Struthio camelus: one gene and its partners. The protein of the gene in region 1 interacts with the protein of each later gene in a pairwise test. Links are inferred from orthologs where the notes say so. Each region holds a gene or a part of one and is shown on either strand. Other genes may lie near its edges.

Region 1 (10,903 bases):
TTTAGGAAAAGGTAGTATTAACTTTATACTGAAATACACGTTTGTTCCAGCTAAAAGTGAGACTACCCTGCTTACCACGTGAGACAGGGTTGCAATCCAGTGCCCAAAATCTGGTGGGGCTTAACCTCCTCTTTCCACCCGCGACTCCACCAGCAGGTAGAAACCCTGTCACCAGCGGCAGGTGCGAGCGCCTCCCGTGTCCCTGCGACGAGCACAGTTCCCTTCTGGGACAACTCCTCTAACTGCCGGTGGCCTCGGTGGCTGCGGGAGCGGCCGCGGGGGCTGTTTCTAGTTCTGAGAGGCGCTGGGACAAAGGGTGCCACTCGCCGCTCCGCAGCCTTGAGCCCGTCCATCTGGGAAGCTGGGGGTTTTAGGATGGCTCTTCCAGGAACTTTCTCTTCTTTTCCTGCGACTGCTGGCTGCAGCCACGCATCATGAAGGCTCCAGCTCCCGTCGCCGCCGGCCTCGCCGGGGCAGCAAACAGGCCCAGCTGGCGCTGCCACCTGCCTGCACTCGTGCCCAGCTTCTCCGGCTGTAATTAGGGCTGATTGCCTGCAAGCTGTGAAACTGCTAAAAGCAGTGTTGGCTGCAGTTCCTGGCTGTGGGTCTCTTGGGATTGACCCTGTTGTGGCTCTGCCTTAGAAATGTTGGGAATCGCCATGTTATGGGAAAGGGTGGCAGCCAGCCCCGCCAGCTCCTGGTGCGTCCCAGCATGGTGGCAGCGCTCCTCCACCCTCCTCTGCTGCCTGTGCGTCCCTGAGCACGGAGTGGTGGGCAAAGCCGTGGTGCCGGGGTCGCTGCTGTGGATGCTCTGGATTGCAGGTTTCCATGAATAACCACTTGGAGAGACATAAGTCAGTTGTTTCTGGGGCACCGGCTAGCAGAAACTGTCTGGTCTTGCTCGCTTGTGTCCCACGAGCGTCACAGGGCATCTCCAGCGTTTGGTCTGTGTCAGCAGACTGATCCCAGTGTTGCTGTCCCGTCTAGCTTTCCGCTGTAGCGAGCGGATGTTCCCGGTGAGGACGGCCAGGCCCCGGCCACCACTTGTAGCAGCCTTGGTCCTGCTGCCAGGGAAGTTCCTGTGCCTGGCCACGGCTCCAGGTTGCTGCAGGGAACTGGAGGGCAGGTGTCTTGATTTTTTTGCCCCCCATCTGCTGTTCTCCAAGGGTGATTAGGGGGTTGTTGCACAGGACAGGCTGGAATCTGGGAACGGGACAGACCTGGCGTGCAGCCGTCCTGGGCTGCCTGGCAGATTACAACTCCTCCGCGGGCTCAGAGAGTCGTAAAAACAGTAGTTCGTGCTCCTTAGGGTGGGCAGAGCGCGTGTGATCGGGGCCCCGCGGCGCCGGGGCGGGGGACGCTCGTGGGTAACAAACCTTCCGTGGCCGGACGCTCCTGCCGCTGGAAAGCGAGCGCGGGCTGCAGGTCACGCGCCATGCCGCGGGGAGCTACGTGTGTTCAGCACGGGCTTTTGAGGTCCCGCAGGTGTCACCAGATGGTGCTCGAGCGCAGCCCGGTGCGCGCGGGCGCCTGCGGCCCTCGGGGCGCCGTCGGGGCGGTTTGCCGGGAGCGGCACGGCCGCGCGTGCCACCAGCTGCCGCGCTCCCTGGGGTCCGGACCGCTCTCCCGCTGAGCTGCAGCGCTGCCGCCGCCGTCTCCGCTGCCTCCTCAAGCGCCGGCAGGCGCCTAAAACCAGCCTCAGCTGGCCACCGGCGTCCTGCCCCGGCAGGGAGCGGGTCCTGCCGCAGGACGGAGGTGGCCCTGAGCGCGGAGGCTGCTGCGGCGCCGGCTGCGGGCGCTGCTGGAGCCCGCTGGCTGGACGGTACCGGAGCCGGTCGGACCGCGGCCCGCGGAGCGGACGGGCCCTGCGCGCGGCCCGCGCCTCCTGCCACTGCCGCGGCCCTGGTTTTATGCGCGTTGTGCAGCTCTGCTTCCCTCTGGGGAACAGGATTACTTGGACGTGCCGTCAGCCCTCGCTGCTCCGCTTCGGTCTTCGGAAGGAGCCTTCTTTCCCGGCTTGGTGCCGGGGGCGTCCGTGAGAGCGCCGCGGGCCCTGCCGGCTCCCCGCTCCCTCTGCAGCAAGCGACGCGGTTCTTGCCGGGCTTGCCTTGGCCCACGGGGTGGCTGCGCGCGCGTCAGACCAACCTCATCTGCTGCCTGATTTCAATCAATCTCGTCCTCCTCCAGATACGCTCGGAGCAAGCATCCTCCTAATGTCTGAGCAGAGCACAAATGGGCCAGGCCTTCGTATCTGCTGCTGGCTGCTGCCAAATAAAGGCTGTAGAAAGTAATTCAATAACGTTACTGCTAGGCCTGGAGACTTTATCGTGCTCCATCTTTGCAAGGAGCCCTCTCTCTCCCGTCCTCGCAGTGCGATGAGCCAGACAAGGGTGCCCGGATGCACGCGCCTGAGACGGGGGGGATACGTAGCTGTGGGGCAGTAGATGTAACGGGAACCACCGGCTGGGAAAGTCCCATCTGCCGCATGGCTGATGGACAAAGCTGGTTATGTTTCTCTGCAAAGATCCATGGGAACCGAAATGATTCCCAGTGTATCTGTCAGCTGGGAGTAACCCTTCGGTCTTCTGCGACCTTTGGAAAGAGCTTATTAGGCAGTGAAGTGATCAGTGGGTTTTTGCTGCTTTTTGCTAGCAGGAGTATTGCAAGCGCCCCCTTGAGCACCAATGACCAGACCCTCGTCCCGCTCCGGAGACGCGTCCTGCTGGCAGGAGGCCCTGGGGCCGCTGCGGTGCCACTCGATGGCCCCGTCCACCCGCGGGTGCCAGCCAAGGCCCGCTGCAGAGCAAGGAGGGGAGCAGCGCTTCCTCTAGGCTTCTGTATTGCTTTGTGCCCTAAGTGGAGCCTTAGCGAGTTTTATGGCTCAGCTGCACGAGGGACGGGTCCTGGGCGCCTTTCCTTCGGTGAGTGCTGCTGCTGGCGAGGCACCGGGGGGGGGGGGGGGCTGCGTTTTTGTGCAAAGGAGCCTAAATTGTCCACAGAGCGAAGCCACGCGGAGGCGTGCAGCAGCGCGCGCTGCCCCGTGTTCCCAGTGCTGCCGAGGGAGCCGCCTCTGCTGCCTTTTTTTTCCTGGCAAGAAACTGAATTATTTTCAAGCTGTTTCCAATTATTGTATTAATTGGGAAAGTAAACAATATCACAGTATTAGTTAGAACTGGCATAAATAAATCCAGCTCCTCTCTCTAGACTTTACTTTAAAAAAAAAAAAACAAAAAAGCTGCGAAGGGATATTAATCCAAGCTAAATACATAGGATGTTCCCATTAAGTTCTCAGCTGGACAAAGATATCCCTGTTTCCACCTTGGTAGCACACTTAGTTTCCACAGATGTGGCCAGATGTGTCAGATGTCGAATCCTGGGACATGTAGTTGGCCATGTTTGGACTCCAAACAGGCATAGCCCGCGATTAGATACGCATCGAGTGTGCTGCTATTAATCCGGCCGCAGTGCAATGCAGACCGTCCTGCTCCCTCGGGTGTTAGAAGTAACGTTTCCTTGGTGCTGGTGTTGTGCTTCCCTGCAGGGAAACCATCCTCCTTTCTTGGCCTGCTCACTCGGAGACGGAGACCAGCGTCACTGCTCTGAGCGTGGTTGCGGGCAGCGTGTGCAGCCCTACAGCCGACGCAGGCTGTGCCCCGGGTTTTCTCTCGGTTGCCTTTGTCTGGGCACCCCAGTGGGTTCGGGAGCGGCCGCGGCTCCGGGCAGCCTGGTGTGTCGAACAGCCAGCAGCGCCCAGGACATGGAGGCAAAGTGAAAAGGTGCCAAAAAGTCTGTTTTTATGTTCTGAAGAAATAATTCTCGCGTGCATGCACGCTCCTGCCAGGGCCTCCTCTTGCGACCCAGCGAGCTTGGGCTCCTCTGCAACATGAGTGAAGGTGAATGATTTGCCCAGGGTGACTTTAAATTTAAAAGTAAAAAGTTCTTGGTATTACCTTTGGAATAAAATTAGCTTCCTTCTTTCCAAATAATTTGATTTAGTTATTGATTTCTGTGTTAGAAGCTCTCAATTGGGCATTAACCTTTCTCTGAGGGTTTTTTCTCTTTTGCCTGTTGAAATCTCTTTAAGGTAAATCCGATGCAATCTATGGTGGAGGTATTCCAGCCTTTCCGCTCCGGGTGCGAGTCCTGGGGGCTCAGGCAGGAGCTGCCCGTGCAGCGGAGGGCGGCAGCGGCGGTGTCCGGGGCCGGGGGCCAGCCGAACGCTCACCTTCGCGAGGTCGGACCTGCCGGGGCTGCGGGGCCGGGGCGGGCGTGCGGGAGGAGCAGAGCCAGGGCTGCTCCCTTGCCCAGCCGCGGGTGCGCGGGTGGCCACCGCGGCGCAAGCGCTGCCTGTCGCTAAGCCTCATCCGCGACGCGCGCCCGTGCAGAGGCCAGTCTGCATCCAACTTTCGTGGTTGCAGCAGTGCAGGGGGTGAAACAGCTCTGTTCAGCTGAACCTTGGCGTGCTGAGATGAACGCTGAAGCGGACAGCACCGCAGGTGGTCCCTCTGCCCAGGAGGTTATCACTAGGTGCCAGTGTACACGAGCTCTGTCGTGCGGCCAGGACAAGGGCTCTGTGAGCCGTAGCTCCAGCCCTGCTGCTCTGCCCACGTGATCTGTGTGACTCCACAGTGGCATCCCTGAACATCGCTGCTGCTTGGGGCTGTTTCGGGACTCTTTGCTAGAGGTTGCATGCTCCTGGTTTGGGACAGTTGTGTGCTCCGGCCGACCGGGAGGTGGTGGCTTCTAATTAAGAGTGTCTCTGCATGACCAGTCGTGGGACATTGCTGGCTTAACAAAAGATTTCAATCATGTTGTCATGGCAGCAGAAGTTTTTGCAGGGAGAAGTGCTTAGCAAGCAAGCTGCGGGCGCCGGACAGCGGTGGTGCTGGATAAAGCACCAGCCAGGGCATCTGGGGTCCCTGGCCTCGGCACTCAGCGCTGCGCCGCTGGTGGGTTGCGGCCGGGCTGGGGGGCTGCGGGGGGCCAGTGCCTCAGTGCAGCCTGTGCGGCTCTGGGGACTCGCACGGGGCGCCGGTCCAGAGCCCTCCGGCCAGCAATTAACAGGCACAACGAAGGCGGTGGCACGAAGCCGAACGTACTCGGAGATGTGGGGCTGAGGGACCTGTGTGGCTTATCCCTGGCTCTCGAGCACGCTCGTTATATCTGCACAAGCTTCTCTCCTCCAGAAGCTGCAACAAGTCATCCTGCTGAATATAACTTTAATTGCCTGTTACGTGATCTGCTGCTTTTCTCATGCCTGTCAAATGTGTTCTCTGTTCAGAAGTGTAGCTCTGTCATTTGGCGTGACCTGTCTGCTAAACTACAGCAGGAATCAAAAGATGCTGCAGAAAACTAAAAATCTTCTAACCGCAAAATGCAGCGGCAGTCTCAATCTCTGTTGCCATGTGCAGCCTGGTGTGCTAGCACTGGTGCAAACAAATCAATAAGACTTACTGCTTTTCTGATGTTGCCCTTGGCAGTTAAGCAGTGTGCAGTGCCCACCAGAGCTCTCCAGCTATTCTGGGCTGGCAATGCGCTGCTCTTAGCCAGAGCATTTCAGCAATCATTTTTTTTGCAAACATGCTCTGGGGCTGGGATTCAAATCTCTGCACCTGGAGAACCGAGAAGGAGGGAGGCAGCCACGAAGGGGTTAAGAAGAATTATCTGGGCTGCAGCTTTAAAAATGCAGTATGGAGGGTATCAAACTGGATTTGGTAGGAGGTTCTCCGTCTGGTACACGCCTTGGCAGCGAAGAGATATTTGATCTCAGAGCAATAGGATGATCGCAGCACTGGCAGGGTTGCAGTGAGCTGTGGTTTCTGGGGACTGACCTGTGGCTTGGTGGAGGCTCTGCGGTGCTGGAGCCCTGCCTGGCACCAGCTGCCCCTTCTGGTGCTGCCAAGCCAAGGGTGGCACCGGCGTAATTCTGTTACGGCGATTAGAAGCGGACAAACGCTCTTCTAGTTAGACTTTCCCGGGCAGCAGAGAAGGGGTGGCAGAGGATGCGGTGTGGGAGATGAGCGGCACCAAGGATGACGGCCGCTGTCAGAGGGCAGTGCGCATCGTCGCCGAGCTGTGCCGCAAGAAAAGCCTGCCTAGTCTGGACCTGGACTCCTGCCGGGAATTCCTCCTGCTGCCCTCAGACCAGAGCCTGAGCATCTCGGAGCCAGGTAGCGCACCCCGCTCCCGGGCGATGCTCGCCGCCGCAGAGCGGCCGCACGGGCACGAGGGCTCTTGCGAGGGGAGGGACGTGCTTGCTGGCGCCGGTGCCGGAGGCCAAACGGTCTCGGCATGTATCTGTGTCGATCTGCGCGTTTGCGCTGGTTCCGCAGCCGAGCGGCGTGCGGGGGTGGAAACACTTCCCAACCTGTTGCGGTGGGCCATGAGCCCGGTGGGGTTAGCAGCCACGGGCACAGCTGCAGGGGAGATGCTGGTGAAGAGATGGCTGATAACTCAAAGTTTCTGTGGAAGCTCTTTGCCTTACTAAAACCAGACTCCTGTCCCATATAAGACAGCAACAAAAAGCCCACCTAAGAAGCTGAGATGTCAGGAATGGATCGTTTTTACCCCAGTGCAGAAGAGGTAGGACTTGCGTGGGGGTGTGTGTTAACCAACGGGGGATCTTAATGTCCCCTGTGGCGTTCGCCTTGCTCTGCCCCAGCCCTGCGCGACGCTCTGAGCTGCGCGGTAGCCCGTCAGCTGCTGCCCGAGGCTCCTCGCGCCGCCGGGCTGCGGTTCCTCCCGCCCTGCCTGCAGGGGTTTTGCTTTTCGGGGACGCAGCTGGCCCCAGGGCGCCCTGGCAGCTTCGTGGTTTGCTGGATTCCTGTTGTCTTTGCTCCCGGCGGTGCTTCCACCGCGCTCTGATCAGTTTGTCCAGCCTAATGTCTCAGTGTCGCCTCCTGCTCTGCTTGTAAGCTACTCGTTATCTTAAAGTCGCTGTGCTTTACACCTGCTTCTTCTGGAGGCCTCTTCCCACTGGTGCTGTCCTGACGTGTTGCACCCCGTACAGCTGTTTTCTGCCTTGTGAATAATTTCCTGTGGTGTTTCGTAAGTTCTTACCTTGGTACCAAAACCGATGGTTTGGTAACTGCGTGGCAGGAAAGCCGGGGCTGCTCCTCCCGCGCAGGCCGGTCGGAGAGGTGCCTGCCCGCGTCACCGCGGGCTGTTACGGTCTGTCACGGACCTCGTTACCCACCTGCAGGCCGCGCTCGCGCCGCGCGCTTCGACGGCCACCGGGGACCGGCCTGGCGGGCCCCCGCCGCCGCTGCGGCGCTGTCTCTGCTCTGCAGGCCTCCTGCGTCTGGGCGGCCCCGAGGACGCTGCCTGGCCCCAGCGCTGGGCGCAGAACTGCTCCGGCAAGGGAAACGCAATGCCCGTCGCTAACGCGGCGGCGCTGGTGACCAGCCTCCTTTCCCGTCCGCGCGGCCTGCGCCCTGCCCGCTGCCGTGGCGCCGCGCACCGTCTCGGGGAGGCCTGCTGCGCGGCGTCGAGGGGCGCAGGCCGGGCCCCGAGGCAGAGCGGGCCCTGCAGCGCGTCCCGCGGCGAGGGCAGGGCCCGGGTGCCCGGCGCCGGGCCGGCGGCCAGCAGCGACCGGCAGCAGAGCCCGCGGAGGGCGGCGCGCTTCTGCGGCGGGGGCAGCCGCCCCGCCGAATCGGCGGAGGGACGGCGTCTTGCGCGGGCGGCGGGCGCCGCGGAGCCTGCGGCCGGCCCCAGAGACCGCGTCCGCGGCGCGGAGCGCTGCTAGCCGCCCGGGGGGCAAAGCCGGCTGTCGGGCCGGCGGCCACCCCGAGCCGGGGCTTCCTCCTCCCGCCGAACAGCGCGGCGCTGGCCCGGTGCAGAGGGCCCCGAGGGCTCCGCCGTAGCTCGTCCCTCTAGGGGTGGACCGCAGATGTTGACGGCCTGGGTGCGTTAGAACAAAACGGCCAGCGCTGTGTGGCGAGGAGAGGGCGGCGGGCGGACGTGGCTGCCGGCTGTCGCCGGAGCAAAACCGACCCTGTGCCGCTGCGGGGTGAGCTGGGGCCTGTCGCCGTCCGGGCGTCACCGCGACAAACCCCTCGCTCGCCGGTGAGGCAGCCGGGGCCTCACCGCCCGCGGCCCCCGGGCCGGGGAGCGGGGCTGCTCTGCCGGGCTGTGTCTGCCCTCTCGGCCGCAGCGGGGCTCGTTTGCCCGGCCCGCTGGGTGTCAAGAGGGCGGTATGCGCCGGGGACGCTTGCCGGCTTTGCAGCACCCTGCGCAGGGGTTGCAGACAGGGATTTGCACTGCGCTGGGAGCGCGGCCAGGACCCCTGGGCTCCGTTTGCGCCAATGCTCTGCTGCTTTATTTAAATCTTTTTTTTTTTTTTTTTGCCTGAGCGCATCCATTTAAAAACAAAACCAAAAAACGAACTCCTCTGACCTATAGAGTAAGAGGTGCGTACTGAGGATGTGCAGAGGTGCTGGCGTCTCCACCCGACCGCCGCGGTGAGGCCCTGCGCGCAGCCGTCCCGGTGGCCTCGGCGCGGCGCCTGCACCTCCCAAGCCCTTCCCCGGGCCCTGATCTCGGGCTTTCCTGGCACGGGGTACCAGGCTGAAGGAGAGGAAGGCGAAGGACAGCCGGGGAAGATGCAAAACCAGAAGAGCCTTCGATAGGGTTTCAGTTTCCCGGCACGCTTTGCCAGCTGCCCGCCGGTGCTCTCGCCCTGCAGATGCTTTAGCAGTCAGTGTTCTGCCCTCGGCGTGAACTATTCCTCCCCAAACGGCAGTACAGCGTGTGCAGCACTGAGCACCCTCCTGGCGCTTCGCAAAGACTAATAAAAAGCTAAAACCACATGTTCATGAGTGTTTCTGCTGCAGGCAGAGATAGAGGTGCGTTTTTTTGTGCAATATGGGTTTTACTGCAGGAATGCTGAAGGGAGGGAAACTGGTTTACATAGCGAAATTGCTTCTGAAATATTTTTCATGGAAGAATTATTCCCTGATAGTTTGAGTAGTGGGAAAATTGATGACATACCCATTCACTGATAAGAAATATCTCCAGCCTCTAGTTATGAAATATGGATGAACCTTGAGTTAACAAAATGTCTGTAATAACACTCTTCTCTGAATCACCGTTAAAGTGCATTTTACGGGAATATGGTTCCGTAACAGTAAACATGTTTGGAGCTATCCAGGCAAAACTAATATTAATCACTGGAGCGTGTGTTTCCAGTGGCCAAGCATGTGAGGCGTAGCAAGGCCCTTGGGGCAAGGATCTCTCCTGGCACCGAGTAATGCTGCTGTGAAACGGCCCTCGCCAGCTTGCAGCGGGACAGCTCTCTAGCTCAAGTGAGACAGGTTTGTGCTTTGGTCCTGAAGGTGTCAGGTTCAAACCTTGCTGTTGGAAGGGAGGCTTCCACAACTATTATCAAATTAAGATTAAATGCACAAAACTAGAGGCATAATGCATTATATGGCCCGGATAAATGCATTATATAGCCTGTCTACGAACACGCATCAGTGCTTATGTATTGAGCGCTAGCACTATCTGTGCTCTGTGATGGTCCCAGTAAATAAAACACTCCTTGGAGCGTGTGTGTTTAGGGGGCTTGTTAAGTCCTTCTCTGCAGAGACGCAAGTTTGGATCTGGCCGATAGCTGCTGGCTGATCGGTCGCTGAAGCAGCGCGGGGAGCTGGCGGCCGTGCAGCTGCGGCAGCTCCTGCTCAGGCAGGGACCGGCATCGGCAGCGCCATAGAAACGGGCAGCCAGGTCGCTGCTGCTGTCAGCTGCGCGCGCCAGCCCAGGACGGTGGCCAGGCAAGCGCCGGGGAGCAGACGCCTCCTTGGTAAGTCCACGTTTCCAAAGTTACTTCCTTCGTTTTTTGCCTTTCTTCATAACATGGGCCCTCTTTGCCTTAACGAACGTTTTGCTTCAGCGGTTTGCCTCTGCTGTTGAAACGTTTTCTCTTGCTTTCGGTATTTTCCCTGTGTTTCACTGAGACCCAGCATGTGCTTTTAGCTGGTTCAAATCAGGGCATACCCTTACTCTAATCTTCTCCGTTGTTTTGCAGGCTGATTCTGTGAAACTGGCATTTTTGTGTTTGCAGATGTTTGTTTCTTGACATCTCTGCTGAAGTCGTATCGGTGCGATGTGTGCAGCCACATGCATACACCATGTATTCACTAACGTTCAGTCTCACGTATGTGCATTCGTTGTTCAGAGACAAAACCAGGACTTTATGTGGAGCTCAGTTCTGATATAATTCTTCATTTAACTTTGTAGCGTCAACTATCCTGGTTTTTTTTTTTAACCTGTTTAATCTCTCACTGTTCATGTTTCTAGGTACAATCTCATTCTTCCTTACGACTCTGTGTTTCCATCTCATGTTGGTTGGGCATCTTTATCTAGCTTTAATATTTGTTATTTCCTCTTCAGAGGCAATAGTGTGTGTATATATGTATATATATATACATATACATATATATATATCTTTCCATCTGTAAAGCATGAGAACAGGAAGCTTATCTGTAACAGCCCTTATCATGCCCCTCCAGGGGACTCATTAACGTAATGGTCACCTACGATGGCAGTGGTTCAGGGGCGATGCGATTCATCTCTGTGCCATGCATTGTCTTTAATTGTACTTGCACGTTGCAAAATGGCATCCTGGAGGGCTGCAGAGGGCATGTTTGGAGTGACTGTAAATTAAATTGTCTATGGAAAAGAGGAAGTTATCCTGCAGGTGTTTTATACCTAGTGAAACTGCAGATGCTAATTAGGGGCACCTTTATGTTTAGTCTGGTTTGTTAGGTTGTTGCATGTCAGTGTTTGACAACATCACGGGAAACCGAGCAGCGAAGACTAAAGGCGGGATGCCAGAAACTCAGTTCATGCAAGCCCTATTTTCAAAAATAATTGGGACGTATAATCCTAGAATATTTAGTTCCAT
Region 2 (10,305 bases), on another chromosome or scaffold:
TGGAGAATTTTTAAAGCTCTCAGGATAAATAAGTTTAAACAGTATATCTTCATTTAGCCAAACATGTGGAATTGAACCCAGAATAAAATGCACCAAATCTTAAGGTGAACAAGTCCCACTGGTTTTATCATGTTTATCCGCAGGCAAAGTTCAACTTCTAAAGCGTAATAATTTAGAAGATGTCATACAAGTAGTACCTACCTAGCAAATTAATGCCATCATTTACAATGAGCTGTCCGTGACGCAAATAGTTCAGGATTGGCTCAAAATACTCTGGACTGCGGTCAATTAGGAATGCTCCTCTATTATCTTGCTTATTTCTCCAAGCATCTGTTTCCACAAGATATACGTAATTAAATTTGATGTATTAAGAGAGGAGCATTTGCTTCAGTCTCAGATTGTTACTACCATAGGGTCCTGGATTATGATGACAAACATTTCACTTTAAAGGGCATTTCGTTAGAGAAAAGGAAAGAAAATAAGAGCAAGGAAACAATCACCTTAAAAATCTCTCTTCTATGTAGAGACATAACCTAAAGACATTTTATCACAGGTACAAGAACCATTGCCAGAATAAAAGCAGTGTTTAGTCTGCCCCTGCTTCTAAAGGCTGTCTTGTACAGTGTTTGCCAGCTGCTTCTGTTGACATGTTCTTCCGTCGGAACACGAGGAAAAACTTCTTTACTGTGAGGGTGACAGAGTGCTGGAACAGGTTGCCCACAGAGGCTGTGGAGTCTCCTTCCTTGGAGATGCTCAAAAGCCATCTGGACACGATCCTAAGCAACATGCTTTAGGCAACTCTGCTTGAGCAGGGGGGTTGGACTAGATGATCTCCAGAGGTCCCTTCCAGCCTCAACCATTCTGTGATTCTGTGACTACTATTAACAAAGCTGAGCAAGGTGCAAGAAAAAAGAAGAAAATCCAATATGAAAATAAAACCCCCAAAGTATTTATTATGGGTAGAAATTATATTCTCAGTGTGTGAGATGTCTGATAAACATCACATAGGCATTGGAGAAATAAATTATATGTTCTGTTTTGATACTTTAACATGCAAACAGGAGTTTTACCTTGATAGTGCCTTTTGCTAATTCCTAGGTTAAAAGATAAACTTTATTTCAATATACTAACCTTTGTCCTTAAACATATGAGCCAACATACTGTCAGGTTCCTTATTAACCAAAGTGCTCCTAGAAAATAAAGGCAGCACAATTTTATTTTTCAAACGGAAAGTTTTGCTTAAGAGATGCACTTGCTGGTTAGAGTGCATTTCCTCCCCTCGGCAGCTTGCCGGCAATAATGGTACACGATACGCATTCTAACAGCTACAATACTAGACTGATTTAATTTCATATGATGTGATAAAGAAATACATTTCTGACCTAGTAAACTAAAGTATCGCAAAAGTACCTCAAACACAAAGCACTTAGTTAACTGAAATATTCCAGAGATAATTCCAAGCCTGTTCAGCCTTTTCACCAGTTTTATTTCACATGTAAACTGTTAAAGGATTACGTTGTTGCAAAACTGCAGTAGCAAATACCTAATCCTGAGAAAGCTGCAGAAGTCAAAGCCCCCCTGCCCCATACAAAGATGTTGCTAGTTCAAGAACATCTGAAGCCTCACCAAATGAACGTACACTAATGGCAACCTACTATAACTACTTTACTGAAATCAAGTCCTTTCAGAATACAACCAAACTAGTTGTACTTTTACCGCGTAGTTGTGAAGTACCGGCCTCCAACATTGAGTGTTAACCAATCTGTGTGTGATCCTGTTAGTTCTTCACGAGGTCTCACATCAGTCTGAGGATCTACACAAGTGAGAACAACGCAGTAATTATTAGAAGAATCGTGAATATTTTTGAATCTTCCATATGGTAACGGTCTCTTTTGAAAAATATCAGAAAATAAAGTTTTAGATTTACATCAAAACAAAAACCTCTTTTCATTAAGCAAAATGTTAAACGTTAAGAATTACACACACTTACTAATGAACGGTTCCCCTTCACAGACAAACAAAACATCATCATCCCTGGAAGGGGAGGGGCAGGGGGGAGAGAAAGAGCAGAGAAATTATTAACCATGCTTTTTTGTTCTTTTATATAAGTGACAGTGGGATCCCCTCCTGATTAGTCTCAGGTAAATAATAATCAGTTGCCATTAGTTAGTTCAGTATCTCATTTTTATTTTACTCTTGCAGGTTTCAGCAGAGCTTAATACTATCAGCTTCACTAGAGATGCTACCGATACATACCTGTACGAACCTGGTAGGGATCGCTTCCTTTACTCAGCCAGTTAAATTTTACAGAAGTTGCTTTTCCCCTCACTTTGGGAGTTTTTTTAAATGAAGATAATGCAATGCTACAGTTTGTCTGCCTATTCTAAAAACCTCATCCAAACGCTATCCCATCATTTTCAGAAAAATAAGAATGACATGCAAGACTAGAATAGTGGGATGCTCCTGGTATGTACATTGTGCTGTGGATCAGCACAGAGTGATGTTAAATGGCATAAAATGCAACTTGTATCAATTTCTGACTCATCAAGATATAAACGCTAAGAAGTTTAAGAGACTATTGTTTTCCTGGAGGCATAAAAGGACTTCTCGCATATTGGTTGGAAGTGATTAGATGATTTAAGGAAAGCACTGGTTACTGATTAAGGTCAGAGGATAAATACGATATACTGAGTGTCTTAAATCCTCATCCATGATAACTTCTATTGGACAAGCCTTACCTAATCAAGGCAATATCATCAATGAGTCCACCTTTTCCATTGTAAACACTAGTTGCTTTTATTCCAAGTTTATTACTAGCCACAGACAGCAAGTCTGATAAAGTTCCATACACGGCCACAACCTGTGAAAGAAAAGAGAGGTTGCTGTGGATACCATGCATGCATAGTTTCTGCCATTTCAGAGTAGTAGGCTAGCCATGTCTTCTCCCTGGGGAGAGGAAGACATGTATGGACCTTTCCTTAAAAAAACAGGGTCAACTTCGATATAAGAAACATAGGTCCCTTAAAATGGGGTGACTTAATTACACATCTCTCAGCCAAGACTCCCTGTACAGAAGTGGTAGCATCAGGAAAAGAATGTCAGTACTATAGGGATGTTATGACTCAGCTGTTAATTTCTCTAAGGAAATCAGGGATTACATTTAGTAGAACTGTACAGTGGGCCCATTTCCCGTTCTGCTTGTGCAGCAGCTGAACCTTGAAACGTGAGCTACGCTCACTCTTGAGACTAGATAGGTTTTAACAAGTCAGAAAAGTTTAAGCAAGATTATTTATTGGCTAGCCAACAGAAAACATTCACATGCAGTGCCGGTTAGACATGGCAGAGACCTGGCAGTAGGACCTGCAGTAAACTGTACTGGTTTGATGGCATTTCTGCTGTGCAGAATTTAAGACTAACGGCCAATGCAGACTCAGATGGCCGTTTCGCAAAAAACAGCTTCATAAACAGCCCGCAGGACTTAATTTACGTGCTTCCTGTTGCTGCCAGAACATCAGGGCCTGAATTAATAATGCCAGCACGAAGGTGACTTTAACTGCACTGCAACGTTAGTAAACGGATCTTAGCTGTTTGTGCTTCTCTTCAGCGCTCACGTGCAGAAACGTCACTCGAGGCTAGACTACGGTGAATAAAACCCCACTGCCCCCGAGGGCCACGCAAGCTTTTCTGTGCGCTGCAGCGGCCCGAGGACTAGGCCCTAAACGGGGACAGAACCAGCGGCCGGGGAGCAGCGCCGGGGGCAGAAGGGAGGAGCGCGCCCCGCCGGCCCGGCGGCGGCCGCCCGCGCTAGAGGTTTCTCTCAGGGCTTCCTCGCGGCACCGGCGGGGAACCCGCCCGCGGGACGGCGGCGGCCCCCGGCCCGGGCGCTCCGCCGAGCGCTTGGGCGGAGCGGGGAGGGGAACGGGGTTCAATTCCGCCAGCAAGCTAGAGACGAGCCCCCGCGCGGCGGCCCCAGCGCCCAGCGCCCCGCGGTGCCGGCCGGGCCGGACCAACCCCACCGCCCGCCGCCCCTCACCTTCCCGTTCCGGGGGCTGCCGTTAACGAACAGCGTGACCCGCCTCATACTGCTGCTGCTGCCGCTCCGGCGGCGGCAGCGGCAGCGCCCCGCTCCTCCAGCCGCACCCAGAAGGCTGCGCCCGCTGACCGACATGGGCTGCAGCCAACCGGAGCCGCGCCCCGCCGCGGTGGAGGGGCGGTGGGTTGGGCGGCGATGCGCCAATAGGAGCGGCGGGGAGCGGGGCGGGAGTAGCGCTGCTCGTAGCCAATCAAGGGAGGAGCAAAGTGCTATATTTGCATGCGAGTGGAAGTAGAGCCTAAGTTCCTGATTGGCAGGGCGGCCACGTGGGCGGTGTTCGTTTAACGGTCCGTTATCGAAAAGACACTTCACCGCGTGAGGGAGTGTGATTGATGCCTCCGCGCAGGGAGACAAAGAGTTCCTCCTCCCTGTGGAGCCCTAGCGGCGTGAGGGGCGGGGAGGGGGGGGGAGGCACGGGGCCGGGCCCCTGTGAACCGCCTTTTCCTCGTGCGCTTCAGGCCCTGACGCCTACCGGCTGCTGGGCGCAAAGCGGGAGGGAAGAGGGGCGGAGGCGCGGAGGGATACGCAGTAGTGCGGCCCGGTTTGAACGTGGGAGGCGGGCGCGGGGCTGGCGGTTGTGGGGAAGCGCTGGGGCGGGCGTGAGGGCGGAGGTGAGGGGGTGAACCGGCGAGGGGTGAACCAGCGGTGGGGGAACCAGCGGTGGGGGGGGGGTGCTGCGGGGCAGAAAGGGATGGGGGAGCGCTGGTGAGGGCTTGGAGGGGCGTGGGGGACCCGGGGAGTGCGAGGGGGTACTGGGGGATGCGAGGGGCCGCGTGCTCGGGGAGGGGCCGCCCGGGGAAGGGGACGCGCGAGGGAAGCGGGGTGCCTGGGGAAGGGGGTGTATGGGCTGCGCTTTGGAGGGGCGCGTGGAAAAAGGCTGCGTCATTGGTAACGGCCGGCGTTGGACGCTTCTCGCTTGGGTAACCGAGTCTCGTTTCTCTGACCAGATAGGTGTTGGCTTCAACTTCTGGTGTTCACGTTAAAAAAAAAAAAAAAGAAAAAAGTGTGTACACGGTGTTTAACGGCTTCACTTTGGGTATGCAAAATACAGAAACAGACGTTTTTTGGAGCTGAAGTTTGAGTGATGTTCTTCAACTCTGTGTGCATAGCTTTTAAATCTAGAAAGCTGAATGCAAAATATGTTCGAATCTTAAACTTGCCAAAGGTAATCTCAAAGTGCTGATACCCATGGCAACAGTTTTTGCAACAAAGTAATCACAAAAGTGGTTGTGCTTAATATGTGTTATGTTAACGTAAGATTTAGGTTTGGTATAGGATAAAAGAATAGCCTTGTATTTCCTTACTTCTGTAACATTTCTTTTATAGGTTTACCCTAGCGTGAATTTCTCTGTTTAGCACCAGCCCTAGGTAGCCTTTCTGTGTAGCCTTCCTGAGATTCGCTTTTTTCCTTTCCATGCGTTCTGCTAACCCCCTAGCTCTAGAAAATGCCTTCAGAAAACTCGTAGGTTTGGTAGAAGTTTGCAAACGGTAGCTCTTACCAAATACCTGTTAAATCTCTTCTCCCTTTTGGTAGGGAGCTGTAATTACAGGAAGACAGAGACTGATTAAATATCTCAGTAGTCTTAGAATCACTAACAATGCACAGACAAAATAAAAATGCTACCTTGAAAGTGAAAGAAAATGAGAGTAGAAGTACTGAAGAGAAGGAAGAGGCCTGTTTCCCTGCTCTGTCAAAAGACCGGAAGATTTGCAAAGTGACTGAATCCAAAATCACAAAGGCATCTGAGAAGGAGAATTTAAATGATGGGAACCAAGCACCGTTGCGGAAATCCACATCAAAATGCACTAAAGACCTAGAGAAAGAATCATACCACAACTGCAAGGATGTTGTCAACTATACGCTCACTGAATGCTTTTTTGATACACCAAATAGAGAGACGTTTGGTGAACCTACCTTGCCCTTGAGCAATAAGGAAAATTTTTCAAAAAGTGGGCCTGTTTCTGTAGGGGATGAAAGCTACTTGACACCAAATAGAGATAAAGCAGAAGAAAAACATGATTGTGGAATATCACAGAGACTGAGGAGAAAGCCTGTTGATTTTGCAACTGTAACAATTGCTGAATTTGGGATTACTCCAGAATCTTTTACTAAACAATCTATAGGTAAGGCTGGGGTGACTAATGAAGTGTGTTTGCTTCTGGGAGGGAACCCTGGAGGTCATCTGATCCACCTTCTCAGAATGGGATCAGCTTCAAAATGAGGCCAGATTCAGGTTACTCAGGACGATGTCCAGTTGAGTTTCAGATATCTAAGGATTTGAGTCTGATGTAATGTTGCTTTAATTCTCAATTTAAACTTTTTTCTATTCAGCTTGGTGTCAGTGACTTTCTCAACAGAGTAGAAAGACAAAAATTGTGCAAGTATTATTGGCAGTTCCTCAATTAGCCATTGAAAAAGAGAAAGACAGAGCCCTTCACTAGAAATATAGTGTAACTATGAACTTGTTTTTTTGCAGTGTTCTTTTTTGTGCATAGGAGAAAAAAAAAAGGTCTGAGTTCCTATTTGTATAGAAAAGGAATGTTCCAGTTTCTTATTTTTATCTTAGTTGAACAGAGTTCTAGAACCTATTTTTAGGGACCTTGTTGAAAAATAGCATAGAAGGAATGTCTCCTGAGCTGAACAGCTCAATCTGGATTTTTCTATAAACAGTATAGATCCTTAAAAAAAAAAAAATCTTTAATTTTTATTTTTTCTCTGCTATTAAAGCTTTAAGTGTTTTAACATGTGACGTTTAATAGTATGTTTTCCTCCTATGTTGATTTCAGAGAACTCTCCGACACCGTTAAAGTTTAGACGAAGGTCAACAATCGGAGTACGGGGGTCCCCAGAAAATAACACCTTTATTCGATACCTTGCACAGCAGAGAAAGAACAGGCAGAAAGAATTTTTTACACAGGTGAGAATCTTTGTCAAATATCTAATGTGTCCGTTTATTCCTCTAGGAAATAACATGTAAATTTTCAAATTTAATATATGCTGATGGGAAGAAAAGGTAAGTCTTTAAGGAAAGCAATATAATAAATAACCATGGCCTTAATTTTGTTGAATTCTTTTGGGCGCCTTACTTTAAAATAGGGAATGCGATAGGTTTTGTTTGATTATAGTCTGGAGTCTTTTCTTCGTGTCCAACGTACTCATATATTTTAATTTTTTTAACGTAAACTTTATTTACCTGCATTTGTCATGCTTGATCTATACGTAATTAAAGCATTGATACTTCAAAGTGAAGTAAATACTAGCATAAATGACTTTTTAAATTAAACTCATTTTTAACTCTAACAGATGCTGTCAGAAAACAAATTGTGAATACGATCTAGAGGGAGACGTGAAAGGGCAATAAAACTTAACAGACTTCTTGTTCTAATTTTTTTCTTATATATTTTTACTATACAACTAAAGCAGCAGCCAGATTAAACACAAGAATTGCTTCTTCTCCCAGTTTGTGTTATGCTAAAGTATAAATACAAAGTAATAAAGAAATCCTCATCCTAGGAAAAAAAGACTCATGAGGTTTAATTTTGTTTTTGCAGGTTAATCCTTTTAACTATCAAAATGCTGGATCATTAAAGGACAAAATACTTGCTTTTCAAACATCCTTTAAATCAGTGCAAGAAGATGAAGGGAACACTGGCTTCTCTGGGTTCTCACAGGTGGCTGATGCTTCCCAGGAAGTAGGCTGTTGTAAGTTTTATTTAATTATTTCTGGTCAAAAGTTTATCCTAAACATTAGTTCTTTCTTTAGTGCAAAAAAAGTGAAACAACAAGCACTTACTCTAGAACAAAAATATCTTCCATTACACAGATTGATAGTGGGGGTTTTTTTTGTTTAGTTTGAAGGGTTTTTTTGTGGGTTTAAACTTGTCTTATTTCTTAGTGTGTCCTGCATAGTGATTTCTCAGAATAACCCCTGAAGAAAAGGTTTACTTTCTAGATTTATAACTTCCACTATACTTGTCACTAAGCATTAGTGTATTTGCATTTTCTCACTTCTTCCGTAAAAGCAGTAATGATTTTAAGAGCTAACACCAGTTGTTATAAGTTTTGCAACTGGTCTCTGTGTTGATCACAAGGTGGAGACTTTTGTATAATAACTGTTAAGTGCAGTAACTTCAGAAACCGTGTTTTACAGTGTTCAGTTAGATTCCTTATTTCTGGATGAAAATATTAAATATTGCAAAAGCAAGTCACAGTGGTACTGTGGTAACTACGGGCAGATGATACTGTAAAGTAAACTATAATGCTCTACCTTTTCTAGTATTGATGCTCTTAATAACGTTCATATGAAAAAGATGACTCTGTTTTGGAGATTTGGTAATTTATGTTATTTCCAAAATAAAACACAAAATTTCATGCTTATTTTCTAGTGAGGGAGGGAAAAAATCCAGCTTGTTGAATCTCACCATCCCTTTGATAAATAAATACAAAAATAGCATTTATGAAAAATCTGACGTTTGTATTTGTGTGTGGGCTTGGTGGGTTTTCTTGTTTCTTTTTTAACTGATGCAGCTCAGAACAAAGTACCTTTCGCAAAAGAGCGCAACGAGGATCAGTGGAGTGAAAAGTTAAAGTCTGTCTACAGTGGAGATGATTCCAAGCAAAATTTCACCAACAACGATGAGGCTGGTATCAAGGTTTGCAGTACCTGGTCTTTACACCAAGATGTGATTGTCACTGAACCTGCTGCTGCTGTTTCGAAGGTACTTATCCGAGTGTAGGTAGAGGACCTGGAGAAGATAAATGGCACTGCAAATTTTCCTTGTAAGAAGTAAATTCTTACTATGGAAAGTCGATGGAAGCAATCTGGTATGGACACTGCTTTGTCTGGACTGACAGAAAATATAGCCTAACCTAAGATATCTGTTGCTGGCTCTTGTGAGGCCATGCTCAGTTTTCTTTTATGCGCAAATATTAAATGTAGTTGCTATAAGCTGTTCACCTCGAGAAGATTATGTTCTATTCTGATAATCAAAGGGAAAATTTATTTTATTCTATTAACAAAATGTAAATATTTCTTAATTCTGGTTTTGAATTCATAGCTGCAACTGTGTGGAATCTCAAATCCACAGATTTGGCAAGTACAGCTTTTTCCAAAAGTCAGCTCCAACTTTGTTAACCATTGGGATGACCTTTGAATGCAATTTTTCATCTTCATCTTTTATGTTTGGCAATTATTTGATATCCCATGCAAAGACAAGAACAAAGTATTGCATACAGATAGAGAAATTCATTTGTGGGAAATATCTTGCCCATAAATATTTCTAGTGATCTTTTTATTAGCGTCATACATAAAAATAGCGAAGCTAGGGTCCGTCTTTGCCAGACACGTTCACGTTGCTCTGATGTTGCGGGACTCCTGAGTTGTAAAACGCCTGCAACAGTGTGAACAGTTGTATGGAGATTAGGAAGAAATTTCCTAAATTAGTGATTAAAATGAAAGAAAGAGCATGAAAAACCATTACATTTTTGACATCTGATTCTTTAAGCGTTTAGCCCTGCTATTTTGGGAAAACTAGTTCAATTAAAGCAGTAGATGATTGAGAAAATGTTGAAATCCTTATCTTTGAAGGTGTTAAAAAGCTCTGTAGTTCATGCTGTTTTAAAAGGCACCATTTGCAAGTGGTTACGGACCAGATATGGTGAGGAGTGCTTCCCTATTGTTGAAGTCCTGTATTTAATAGACTTGGAGTTCATCCTTTATTGTGTTTTGTCTGGTTTCAGGTTATTCATGGTGTGTAGTGATAGTACACTATCCTGCCCTTTCTTTGAGTATTGAGATTGATTTGAGAAACTTAGGATCCTTTGGTCAGTAAGTGTGAAATATTCTTTTTAGGTTAAAATGTTCAGCAAGCAGATGAAAGAAATATTTTTCTACTGTATTTAACAGCTGTTATTGCAGTTGAGGATTGAGAAACCTCAGTATTCTTCTGTGCTTTTTTCCCTTTTAAGAATGGTAGTTGACGTTTGTGACATTAGTAAATTACCGTTTGAAGCAATACTTCAAAAAATGGATAACGAGGAGAGAGGCCAAACAGATTAATATCAAGTGCTTCACACAAAAAGCCAACAGATTATATTTTTAATTTCTTTATTGTATCGTTACATGTAATACCTTTTTATTCTTCTTATCGCTTTATCTCTAGGAACCGATTGGTGAGCAGCAAAATCCCGTTGAGTTGTTGGAGGCTGTTCT
Region 3 (10,956 bases), on another chromosome or scaffold:
CAAGAGGTTACATGCCGGTGAAAACTGTCCCGCCACATAAATCTTTTTCCACAGATGTTACACTCGTATGGTTTTATGCCTGTATGAATTTTCATATGGCCAACAAGATGGTGTTTCATTTTGAATTTCTTACCGCAGACACCACAGCCGTAAGGTCGAAGACCAAGGTGCATACTCATATGCCGATCTCGCTGACTCTTGTGTGTAAAGCTTTTACCACACTGACAAGGATATAGCTTATCAGCATGTGAGAATCCAGTGAGGGATGTTTCTTCTTTAATTCCTGTAGCCATTTCAATACCTTCACCATAACCTGTTGCTATCATAAGATCCTGTCTGTGAGCACTTAAATTTCCATCTGCCCTTTCACCAGAAAACTCCTCCATAGAAGAGCCATAGAAGTCAACTTGCTCATCATAATTACTTTCATCTGCCTGTTCATCAAATTCTGCTTCCATCTTTTTGTCACCTATATGAAAGTCTTCAACACCTGAAGACTGGATTGAATGATCTGCCTGAATGGCATTCATGGATTCAGAAACTTGGTGTTCATCATAAGGATTATCAACACCTTCACAGTCCTGTTCAAATCTTTCTGGTTTCACATGGATCCACCGCTTGTGAGACATGATGCTGGGTTTGCTATATATAGGTCTTGTATATTGATACTCTGCACTATCACTAGTCCCTTCTTCACCATCCTGACTTGTCATTCCTGTGCTGAGTCTATCATGTTCTGTTGAAGAATTACTGGGAAGGTACTCGTGTTCTGTTAGTTGACATGACAGTTCATCTTTAGAGCTTTCTTCTTCATTTTCGCCATCCCTCAGCTCCTGCACTTTGTGGAATTCTGTCTGTCCTCCAGAGCCAAGTTCAAAGGTTTCAACAAGGCCGTTGTAACTACTACTACTCGGGGACTGATGATCACTGCCATGGTTCATCTTCTGACAGAGAACTGTTGGGTTCCCCTCTAGCACTTCAGTGCATTTATCTACTACATGCCACATCTGAAGAAAGCTTGCTGCTGTCAAATAACTTACTATTTCTGGAGCAGGCATAACCAACCGACCTGTATAGGTAGACAGAAGAATGTTTTCAAATACTCTTGGATTCATCACATCAGGCAGGACTATCCGCCTGCTATTTTTCAGGAGCACCTGATCACAGAAGTAAGGTGAACTAGCTGCAAGAACAGCTTTATGGGCTCTGAAGAGATGGCCCTGAACTACAATGGACACATCACATAATTGTCCTTGCTGGCGCTGCTGGTTTAACTTCTGCAAAATGGTGCTAGAAAAATCTGGAAATTCCACTCGAAAAGAGCTTGATCCAGACTCCATTTCATTACAAATCTAGTGTTGTGCTGCAAGAGGAAAAGAAGAGAGAGAAGGATCAGAAATTCTGCTTAGTAAAGTTTGGTCTTTCCAGTTGCTTATATTCAAATTTTTTTCTTTAAGGAATAACATCTAATGGACTCGTACAGAAGTCGACTCAAAACTTTTGGGAACCTGTGTCACTGGCCTATTTTTATCTTCCCCCCTCCATTTCATCTTTTCCCTTTTTGAAAGTTATATCAAGGCCACAAATTCCCATGCCAACACATCTTGCTGCACTTCATCTATCCACAAGCACTCATCATCTACAGCAGAAGTTAGGAACAGATTTACCTAGTTGACAGAATGATTATTCAAGCATGAGTTTAGGATAACAAAAACAATTATTTGATGAAACTTTAGCAGTAGAGTTAACTGCAGGATGTCCTAGAGTTTGTAAAGGTGTATGAAAGATTCTGCATTTCAACTGCCAAACAAATAATCTCATTAATCCCCCAATAAAGACTGACTGTACTCTTATGAAATGTTCCACCTTAAACAAAGTTTTCAAAAGTCATCATATTGATTCATTCAACAACAAAGGCGGCATAGAGTCCTAGTGAGAATGAGGCTTATGACTCTTCCAGGGGTATTTCCCTGTCATTTTATTAGATGAAAGTTGAAAGAGCAACATCCTGTGCAGTTGCAACACTACAATCCAATCCTTTCTTTCTGAGCTTTTTCAGATGTTATTACAAGATTCCTTAATTTAACATTTTAAATTATGTAAACAGGAAAGCGATACCTGAGCTGTACAGAATTTTTTGCATATGTACCTTGTATATGTGTGACAATGCAACAAAATTAGAGGCTAGAAGCTCAGCTAATAGCTCAGATTTTAATGTTTGTATTCCCACATGATCCAGATGTCTTACCACAAAGTTGATGTCATCTTAAGTAATAAAACTGTTCAAAATTTCTGCCTTAAATTTGAAGTTTAAGATAAATTTACATGTTTTTAAACATGAGAAATAATGACCAGTCATGAAAGACCAAGATTAACTCCCTGAATAAGTTAAATTTGTGCAATTTTTCAACTACATCATGTTTAAATTGAATACAATAGAACTCTGAAAGCCATGAAATAACAAGCAGCTTTCCCCTGTCAAATTCTGTTTCTCATCAGTAGGGAAGTGTCAAAATTTTAATAGATAGGGCTGTGCACCTTAGAGACAATATTTAGGAAGCTAGCAGACAGCACACACAGAATTTTAAGCACTTTTTGAATATGGTGCAAAAATAGACACTGAATTACAAACAGTTGCAGGACTCCAACTGAAGTAGTTCTATGGAGAAATGAAATGTAGAAAACATGATTATGAATCCTCGCTACAGATAACGTGCAAAATAACCACAGTACTTTCTACACAGTTACATAACTGTCAATAGAAAAATGTGCTGACTGGTGCACTGTGTTAAGATGCCAGAATTTGGCACAAATGCATGGCTGCTAAGAAGACGACAGCAATGTTTGCATACAAAATATAGATGGCTCAGGAGCGATTATGCACTTTGAAATTTACTGTTTTACCAGTTAGTTTAACTTTTCATTTTCAACACTCCTCAGTCTTTCCTCAAAGCATCAAGCTAGAAACGATTATGCACATCCTTGAACAAACTGCTTGAGATGCATTCCCAAAAGTATCTGAAAAATCTCAACATGAAGGTGCAAAATTGAAATCAGCATATTTTCCCCCTTTTAAATTAAAAGGGAAAAGAGTCTAGGGACAGTAAGCAATTCACCAGAAGTAAAGTATGACAAACTGTCATACCTCAGGTGCAAATGTGGAATTTGTACTGAATATTACTATACTTATAATTTCGCTATTTTTTAGCTAGTCTGAGAACAATTTGTCTGATGGGGAACATAAGCTGTTCTGCAATCTGAATAAGTCTTGATTTAGTAAATCTAACAGAATATTAGAAATAGCAGCTTTTAAATGACTTTCTTGGAAAGGAAGCTCTCTGAAGCATTTGCAGTTAAACTGATCTTCTCAAAATCATGACCTATGTAATAGCAATAAAGAGTATTTGCACTTTGAAATTTACTGTTTTACCAGTTAGTTTAATTTTTCATTTTCAACACTCCTCAGTCTTTCCTCAAAGCATCAGTCCTTCTATATACCTGTAATACCAACCCACTTCAAGAAACCAGATCAGCTGCTTATATTTATCACTGAGTAACAGAATACTGTCAGCACTAGTGTTACATATTTTTTCCACTTTGCTTAAAACAAGTGGACAAAATTATTGAAGTACATTTCTTCAACATAATAAATCGTTATCTAATACAATGATCATTACAAAATATTTTTTTAAAAGCAGCATTTATATGCAGATGTGTAAATTCTTTATCTCCTTTCAGAATATTCCCAGACATAAGCATCTATTCTACAATGCTTGCCTACAACAAAGATACCCTTTTATGATACATTCAATTGAAATTTAAATAGGCATGCCTGCACACCTAACAATTGCTAGCCTGAACTGCCATCCTTCAAAAAGGACACAGCTTAGTCCAAGAAGCAAATATAGCTTGGAAAACATATTTATTCACCATTGAAACAATTCCATTAGGGAGCAGAGCTGATATTATATATACCGAACTAACATGAAAAGCAAAGCCATCTAAACACACATAAGATATTTTTAACTATACATTTCAAGAATATTTGGGTTTTTCCTTCTGCAGAGGTTTTACTTCCTCCTTTTACAACCTGTTCTGTTTCTGCTTTTTCTCTACCCACGTCATAGAGAGCAAAGTTTTTCTATTTTAACCCACAACAAGTTTTTAGTCTCCAGGCTGGAACGCTCAGATGAAACACGCAAAGCAAACGTTACTGGCTTAAAAACAAAGTCACTTTCAAAAGCGCAGCACGCGGTTCCTCGAGGCCGTCGTACATAAAGCCTCCTGAAAGACGCGATTGTTTTACCCCAGCCGCGGCAGCCGCCCGCGGCTCATCCGCACCAGCGGCGGCGGGACCGGCCTCCGCCGGCTCCGCAGGCCCCGCGGCCGCCGACGGCCCCGCCCCGCCCGGCCCGGCCCCCGCCGCCGCCGCCGCCGCCGCCGCCGCCGTCCCCGCGCCGCGCGGTTCCCGGGCCCGGCGACGGCGGCGGGGCGGGGCCGCGCCGGGGCCGCGCTCGGGGCTCGCCGGGGGGCGGGGGCGGCCAGGCCTCGCGCGCCGCCCCAGAGCGGGCCCGCGGAGCCGGGGCGGCGGCAGCGCGGCCCCCGGCGGCGACCTCTCACCTGGGGGCCTCAGCGTCCCTCGCATAGCGGGTGCGGCCCGGCTCCAGGCGCGGCGCCACCGCCGCAGCTTCCCCGCCGCCGCCGCCGCCGCCACCACCACCGCCGCCGCTGCCCGGCCCACACCGGAAACCGCCTCCCTGCCAGCGCTTCCGCATCCGGGTCCCGCGGCGGGCGGCCCCGCCCCTTCCTGCCCGAGCCCGAGCCCAGGGGCAGCCGGGAAGAGGCGGCGGGGGGCAGCGGAGCCCGGCGGCGGCGGCGGCCGCGGTGGGAGGGGCTCGGGGAGCAGCGGAGCCCGGCGGCGGCGGCGGCGGCGGCGGCGGGGGGCAGCGGAGCCCGGCGGCGGCGGCGGGGGGCTGGGGGCTCGGGGCTCAGGGGGCAGCGGAGCCCGGCGGCGGTTGCGGCGGCGGGGGGGCTCGGGGGGCAGCGGAGCCCGGCGGCGGTTGCGGCGGCGGCGGGGGGCTGGGGGCTCGGGGGGCAGCGGAGCCCGGCGGCGGCGGCGGCGGCGGGAGGGGCTCGGGGGGCAGCGGAGCCCGGCGGCGGGAGGGGCTCGGGGGGCGGCGGAGCCCGGCGGCGGCGGGGGGGCTGGGGGCTCGGGGGGCAGCGGAGCCCGGCGGCGGCGGCGGCGGCGGGAGGGGCTCGGGGGGCAGCGGAGCCCGGCGGCGGTTGCGGCGGCGGCGGGGGGCTGGGGGCTCGGGGGGCGGCGGAGCCCGGCGGCGGCGGGGGGGCTGGGGGCTGGGGGCTGGGGGCTCGGGGGGCAGCGGAGCCCGGCGGCGGCGGCGGTGCCTCGGAGGCCGCGGGGAGGGCGCCGCCGAGGAGCGAGTGGCCGCGGGCAGCGCTGGAGCCTCGTCAGCGGCTGGAAAGGGCGGCTGCGGGGCGGGAGCGCGGGGCGGGAGCGCGGGGCGGGAGCGCTGGCCCGCGGCAGCAGCAGGGCCCGCAGCGCCGGTCGTTCGCTGCCTAAGGCGTTTCACGGAGCAGGTGCGGTCTAACGCCTTGAGAACGCACAGAGAGGCGATCGCACTGGAGCAGCACAGTGACGTTCCCCAGTCCAGCATCTTTTTCTTTATATTGGCAAGTTAATGGGTTTCAGGGGAAAGGGTAACAAATTTCTAGTAGGAAATTTTGTAAGAATTTGTACTCAAGAAAAGTTTGTTTTTGCCACAGTATTTGTGGTCTGAGCATGTGCTGAGGCATTATATCTATGGCCAAAAATCATGCCTTTATTTTAAGTTATTACAGCTTCTTCCTGCAATGCTTAAAGTACTTTATGTAATGTTCTTCTGCGGGAGCTACATCTATATGTAAGGAAGGCCTGAATCCCGTGAAGTCCTTTCCCTGCGTTCTAAATACCTGACACACACGTTCTTCCAATCAATTTCTCTGAATGAGTTTGGCACTCTCCTTTGTGTTTTCCTGATTGTGTAGAGCCAGGAATCATTCAGCGAGGACTCCGCGTGTAGAAATGCAGCACCAGATGAATATACAACAAGCACTGTTGTAATGAAATACATGTTAATAAATTATTCTATTTGTGTAAAAAGAGATTGATGTTTCTGTATATCCAGATGGGATCCCACTTACGCGTTGGCAGAGGGGAAATGACTTTTTGGAATAGCCCTCCATCCACTGATATGTGTGAAATACATAAAAATGGACAGATGGGATAAATCTTTGTATCCACTTTCAGGTTTTTCCCTTACTTTCATAAACTGTCTAGATTTTCGATATGAAATTTAGAGCAAGATTATGTTTAGGATTCTTTTAATGTTGAGAATAACTGAATTAGGAAACAGATGGTTTAGGAGTTGCTCCCAAAGCATAGCGATGTTGCTATACTGGCCATGAGAACAAAGTCTTAGAGCTGAATCAAGCTTCAAGCCTCTAACAAGGTAGGTAAAAGCTTTAAAAATGGTCTGAGAGAGTTGTGCCAGAAGCTGCTCTGTTTGTTCTGAATCCCTTGGATGAAACCAGCAGACATCCCTGATACCATCTCCCAAGGTTGAGTTTTGTCCAACTGGTAGATAAAGAGAAGGGGGTGGGGGGAAGCACCTGAGCTAGAAGGCAAATGCTATAGCAGAACATGCAAGAGTTAAGCCAAAATAAGAGTAATGACGTGTTTTGCATTTAGCTCTGCAGATGTCTGTGGGAGTGTTGTGTCAGCAGCACCATAAACGTGTGTAAGAGGTGTAAGGGAAGCACGTGTTGCATTGTTTGCCCAGTGACGGCACTCCTGGGTTCTCTGAGCAGGCTGTTAACACGCTTATCAGTGTCATTAGTTTAAAGGTGCAATTGCTTTTGCATCTTGGGAAAATTGGGGTTTAATCCAACATTGGGTGTGTCATTAAGTGGTATAGTGAAGGAAGTAGTAAGTCAAAGTGGTAGACCAGGCAAAGAGGTAACTTCTGTCATCAGTTTCAGTGACTTCATCTCAGAGTTTTAATAAGTAAGGGAAAGCGGATTCACAGAGCTTTATCCTAAGTAATAGGATGAGGAAAAAATACTTTCTGATACAGGATGGGAAGGAGCTATGGTTTAATACTGAGAATTAAACATTCCATTTCATTGTTGACAGGCAATTTTTTTGTTTTAACTGAAGTTTAAGCACAAATGTGCCGTCCTAGATCATTCTTCTCCGAACTTAAGCATGTAGTGAATAATGGATACATTCTCTTTGGAATCTTTGTACAAAGTTTGTGTTTAGTGATGGAAGCAATATAAAGGGCCATAATAACTCCCATCCTCCAATAATACTGCTGATTTTGTCTTGGTATTAAGGTGTATTATTATATAAATCTAGATAAGAATTGTTCAGTCTATGCTGTCAGAATTGAGAGCTGGGTTTAGTGATGGAAAGCCAGCATTTAATTCCTACCAGCTGTTTTAAACTAGATTTTAAAGAATGCCCATACAATGTACTGTGTTTAATTTCTCATATTACCTAAAGTATATCTACTGAATTTAGTCCTGGATGAAAACAGGCTTTAAATGAAACTAATCGGACGGATTACTTTCTGCAGTTCATTGGTAGCTGTATGTGATTCAGAAATTTAATTTAATGCAAAACTGAACAGAGGAAAACAAAGAAATAGCTGGAAACTCACCAACATCACATGTACTATACTTAAAGAGATGCATTTGCCACTCAGGGGTTGTGCTCATAATTGCTTTAACATTGATTTTCTTTTTACAGTTTGATTTGGGAGTTGATGTATTTTCCAATATAAAGTCAGTAAGAATAACTTTATAACCACAAAATTTCCCTGAAGATTCTCCTTTTTCTTTATTTATTCCACTGATGTTCTCCATTCCAAAGTTTATCAGTGCTGCTGTAGGCACTATCAGGAGGGGATAACCAGAGAGTGGTAGCTGGTTTTCCCCAAGGAGCTGATTTTATTGTCCTAGGACGGAACAGCCAGGGCCCTGCTGTTGTACTCATGCTAAAGACAGGTACCTGGATCAGCCAAACGACAAGAAATACTCTACAGTCAGACCGCTCAATTGGCCATGCAACAAGCACATACATGAACATTCCAAAAATAAGATGAGATTCCACAAGAACAATTTATAGGCTGAAAATAGATCAAAGACTTCCTTTGAAGCCTCCAAACAAGCCTGTGGCATTCAGGATAGTGTTTTTGTGCCAGCACGTTAAGGGAGGTTGTAACTGTACAGCTAGTAGGATTGTATCTTAACTTTAGAAAATTGACTTATTTCTATAAGGAATCAAGCTTCCAAACAAGTTCATACAGTTTTTAACAGTATCTTAGCTAAGAGACAACTGATTTCTAGGCATTTTGGGGAAGACAGACTACTGAAACTCTGTGGCTCTTGCTCTAAGAAAAGAAAAAAAGTTGTTCAAGTATAGCTACTGCTTTTGCTAGGTGGTATGGCATTTTTCGTACAGTTCATTTGTCAAGGATGCACCAAAACAGCTCTGTGTAGCTTCTCGGTAAAAACCTGATTTCAGTACCACTGATTTTTATTTTTGTTTCAAAAGCAGTTTTTACTCAGTTTGGTTTTTTTTTTTTTTGGGGGGGGGGGAACATGACTGGGTCTTCTTTACAAGTGAAAATGCAGTAAAATAATTTTAGTCTTGGGGACATCTTGGAAGACTTCTAGCATAAGCAGTGACTATATACATTTCCCAGTCTTGTCTGTTTAGATGCTCTAAGTCTATCTGGAAACACTGAAGATTTTAATTTTAGCTGCACCCATAGTACTTGGTTTCCTTATGAAAGTCTTCAAAGAAAAGAAATTGTGATTATATTTATCTATCCATGCATCAGTGCACTTAGTTTGTTGCCATCTCTGTTGCCAATTACCAAATATCTTTCAGATGGTAACGATTCAGTAGTTTAAAGAGAGAAAGGCTGGGAATTTAGACTATGACCTTTGTTACTTAAGGTAATTCTGCAGAATATTTTATTTCTGGAATGTCTCAATCTAACATAAATGTTTGATTGCTTGATATGTTTGATTTCTATTTGAATGATATCATATACTTACTTTTGTCCAAAGGTCTCAGGCGGGGCAGGCGAAGGCACTGCAAAAAGGGGGGAAAAGAAGATGGTGGCAAGAGGGAAGCACTTGTCAGCGCTCCGTAAAACGGCAGATGGTGCTGAAGGCTAGGGCAGTGCACGCCGGCTGGGGACGCTTCCAGCTCTGACTGGGTCCCAGGTGGATTTGGTACAAGTAGATGTTACAACTTCTGGTCACTTGGCAAATCTGTAGTCTATTGTTCAATCGTGATTATAACTCTTTAGAGCAAAAGAAATCTTGTGAAAGAAACTAATTTCATTTTATTTTACAGTTAATGTTTATGGAACTAATCATTGTATGGAGACAAAATATAGGCCAAATTTTATGAAGTCCATAAAATATTTAAACTGGCATACTAGAATATGAAATCTGAAAACATTAGACTTTTTAGGAAAGGCACTGTTTTTGTGAACAAAGATCTAATTATTATAATGTCTCCTTTCCTAAGTTCCATATAAAATATTAAATGAGATCCAGAATATGTTAAATGTTAACAAACTTTTGACCAATCTTTGTTTAGTATCAAGTCTTAAACATTTGCATTTTGAAATTGTTACATGAAGCCTAATTTAATTGCATTTGCATCATTTTAAAATTTTACTTCAACAGGTAATAGTGAAAAAACATTAACTTTTTTGGTACTTGCAAAATTTGGGATTAGTTTGCATTTGAAATAAAAACTTGCTTCTTATTTCATCCCATGATATTCATTAACCTTAAGTCTTTTCTTCTTTTCATTGCAATTTCCCCCTAATAAGCACAGAAGGAAAGATAGGTCCCGTAATGTGTCAAGACTTAAGTCACACATATAGCATCTACTACCAAAAAAAAAAAAAAAACCCACACAGTATTTTGGGAATTATGTTGTTCAGAACTAGGTCTTCTGTTCTATTCCAGGGTAGCATACCTTGCTTTCTTGTCCCGAGATCCAAAAACTTATAGGGGGAAGGCGCGTGTGTGGTGAATGTCAACTTTACCACGTAGGCAATGGAAAGGCAGATAATATTGTTAGAAAAATGTGACATTAACATGGCTTACTTTATTGTTTGTAGGGACTACACTTCAGCCTGTGAAAGGTTTTTCTTCCTAAAAATGTAATTGAGGCTTGAGTTTTTAGTTAGCAATAAACATAATTTAGTTATTAATACTGACAAAGTGGGTTAGGTTAAAGTAATACCTGGTTGACCATTATGTACAAAGTAACCATAATTAGGTAACGTAGTTACAAGGAAGTATCAAGTTGTATTTCTTCCATAAGCTAAATTTAGATGTATTTGTGTTCATGTTATTTTACATGATACATATCATTTATTGACTTCAAGTCCTGTGAATTCTTTTACTTGTCAAAGGCTTGGTATTTGTGCAATTTTTACTATGAAAACATTAAATCTTAACAAACAGCCTCTAGTCTCTAATTCTCAGGTAACTTCACAGGAGTTACCTGCGAGGAGTTACCTCACAGGTAACTCTGCAGTTACAATTCACCTGAGATCATCTTATCAGAAGACAACGTGTCATTACTTGAAACCATCATTTGTAAGAGCTTATTAAATTGTTTCATTCCATGTTATTATTCCCTGAATAAAGTATTTACAATTTAACTTCAAAGGTCAGGTCTGGAGCTCAAGCCCCATGGGTTTCACTGTATTGTACTGTGCAAGTGTAACAACTTTTTTTTTTTTTTTTTTGACTATTATAAAAGTCAACTGTATTTCACAGGCTGTTGATGTTCTTGTGCATCTCTCTCACCTATATGAGGCAATGGCTTCTAGCATCACTTTCCAAAGTTACCTTTACAGT

The links.
Region 2: the proteins of SYT6 (region 1) and KCTD9 interact in binary tests that used the Homo sapiens proteins (3 or more experiments, as listed by UniProt). The two-hybrid records come from large-scale screens. The link is inferred for Struthio camelus from reciprocal best matches to the Homo sapiens genes SYT6 and KCTD9.
Region 3: the proteins of SYT6 (region 1) and ZBTB43 interact in binary tests that used the Homo sapiens proteins (3 or more experiments, as listed by UniProt). The two-hybrid records come from large-scale screens. The link is inferred for Struthio camelus from reciprocal best matches to the Homo sapiens genes SYT6 and ZBTB43.

Annotation. Positions count from the first base shown.
Region 1 is NC_090965.1:9,981,821-9,992,723, reverse strand, and holds the start of SYT6 (synaptotagmin-6), read left to right. Parts: upstream 1-5,642; 5' UTR 5,643-6,016; coding exon 6,017-6,170; intron 6,171-10,903.
Region 2 is NC_090968.1:4,626,731-4,637,035, reverse strand, and holds the start of KCTD9 (BTB/POZ domain-containing protein KCTD9), read right to left. Parts: upstream 4,208-10,305; 5' UTR 4,169-4,207; coding exon 4,034-4,168; intron 2,861-4,033; coding exon 2,739-2,860; intron 2,035-2,738; coding exon 1,991-2,034; intron 1,814-1,990; coding exon 1,717-1,813; intron 1,191-1,716; coding exon 1,132-1,190; intron 331-1,131; coding exon 202-330; intron 1-201. Other genes in the region: CDCA2 (cell division cycle-associated protein 2), read left to right, coding at 5,692-6,217, 6,881-7,011, 7,646-7,796, 8,622-8,812, 10,256-10,305. UniProt on the Homo sapiens protein: Substrate-specific adapter of a BCR (BTB-CUL3-RBX1) E3 ubiquitin-protein ligase complex, which mediates the ubiquitination of target proteins, leading to their degradation by the proteasome.
Region 3 is NC_090961.1:393,521-404,476, forward strand, and holds the start of ZBTB43 (zinc finger and BTB domain-containing protein 43), read right to left. Parts: upstream 4,730-10,956; 5' UTR 4,621-4,729; intron 1,364-4,620; 5' UTR 1,341-1,363; coding exon 1-1,340. UniProt on the Homo sapiens protein: May be involved in transcriptional regulation.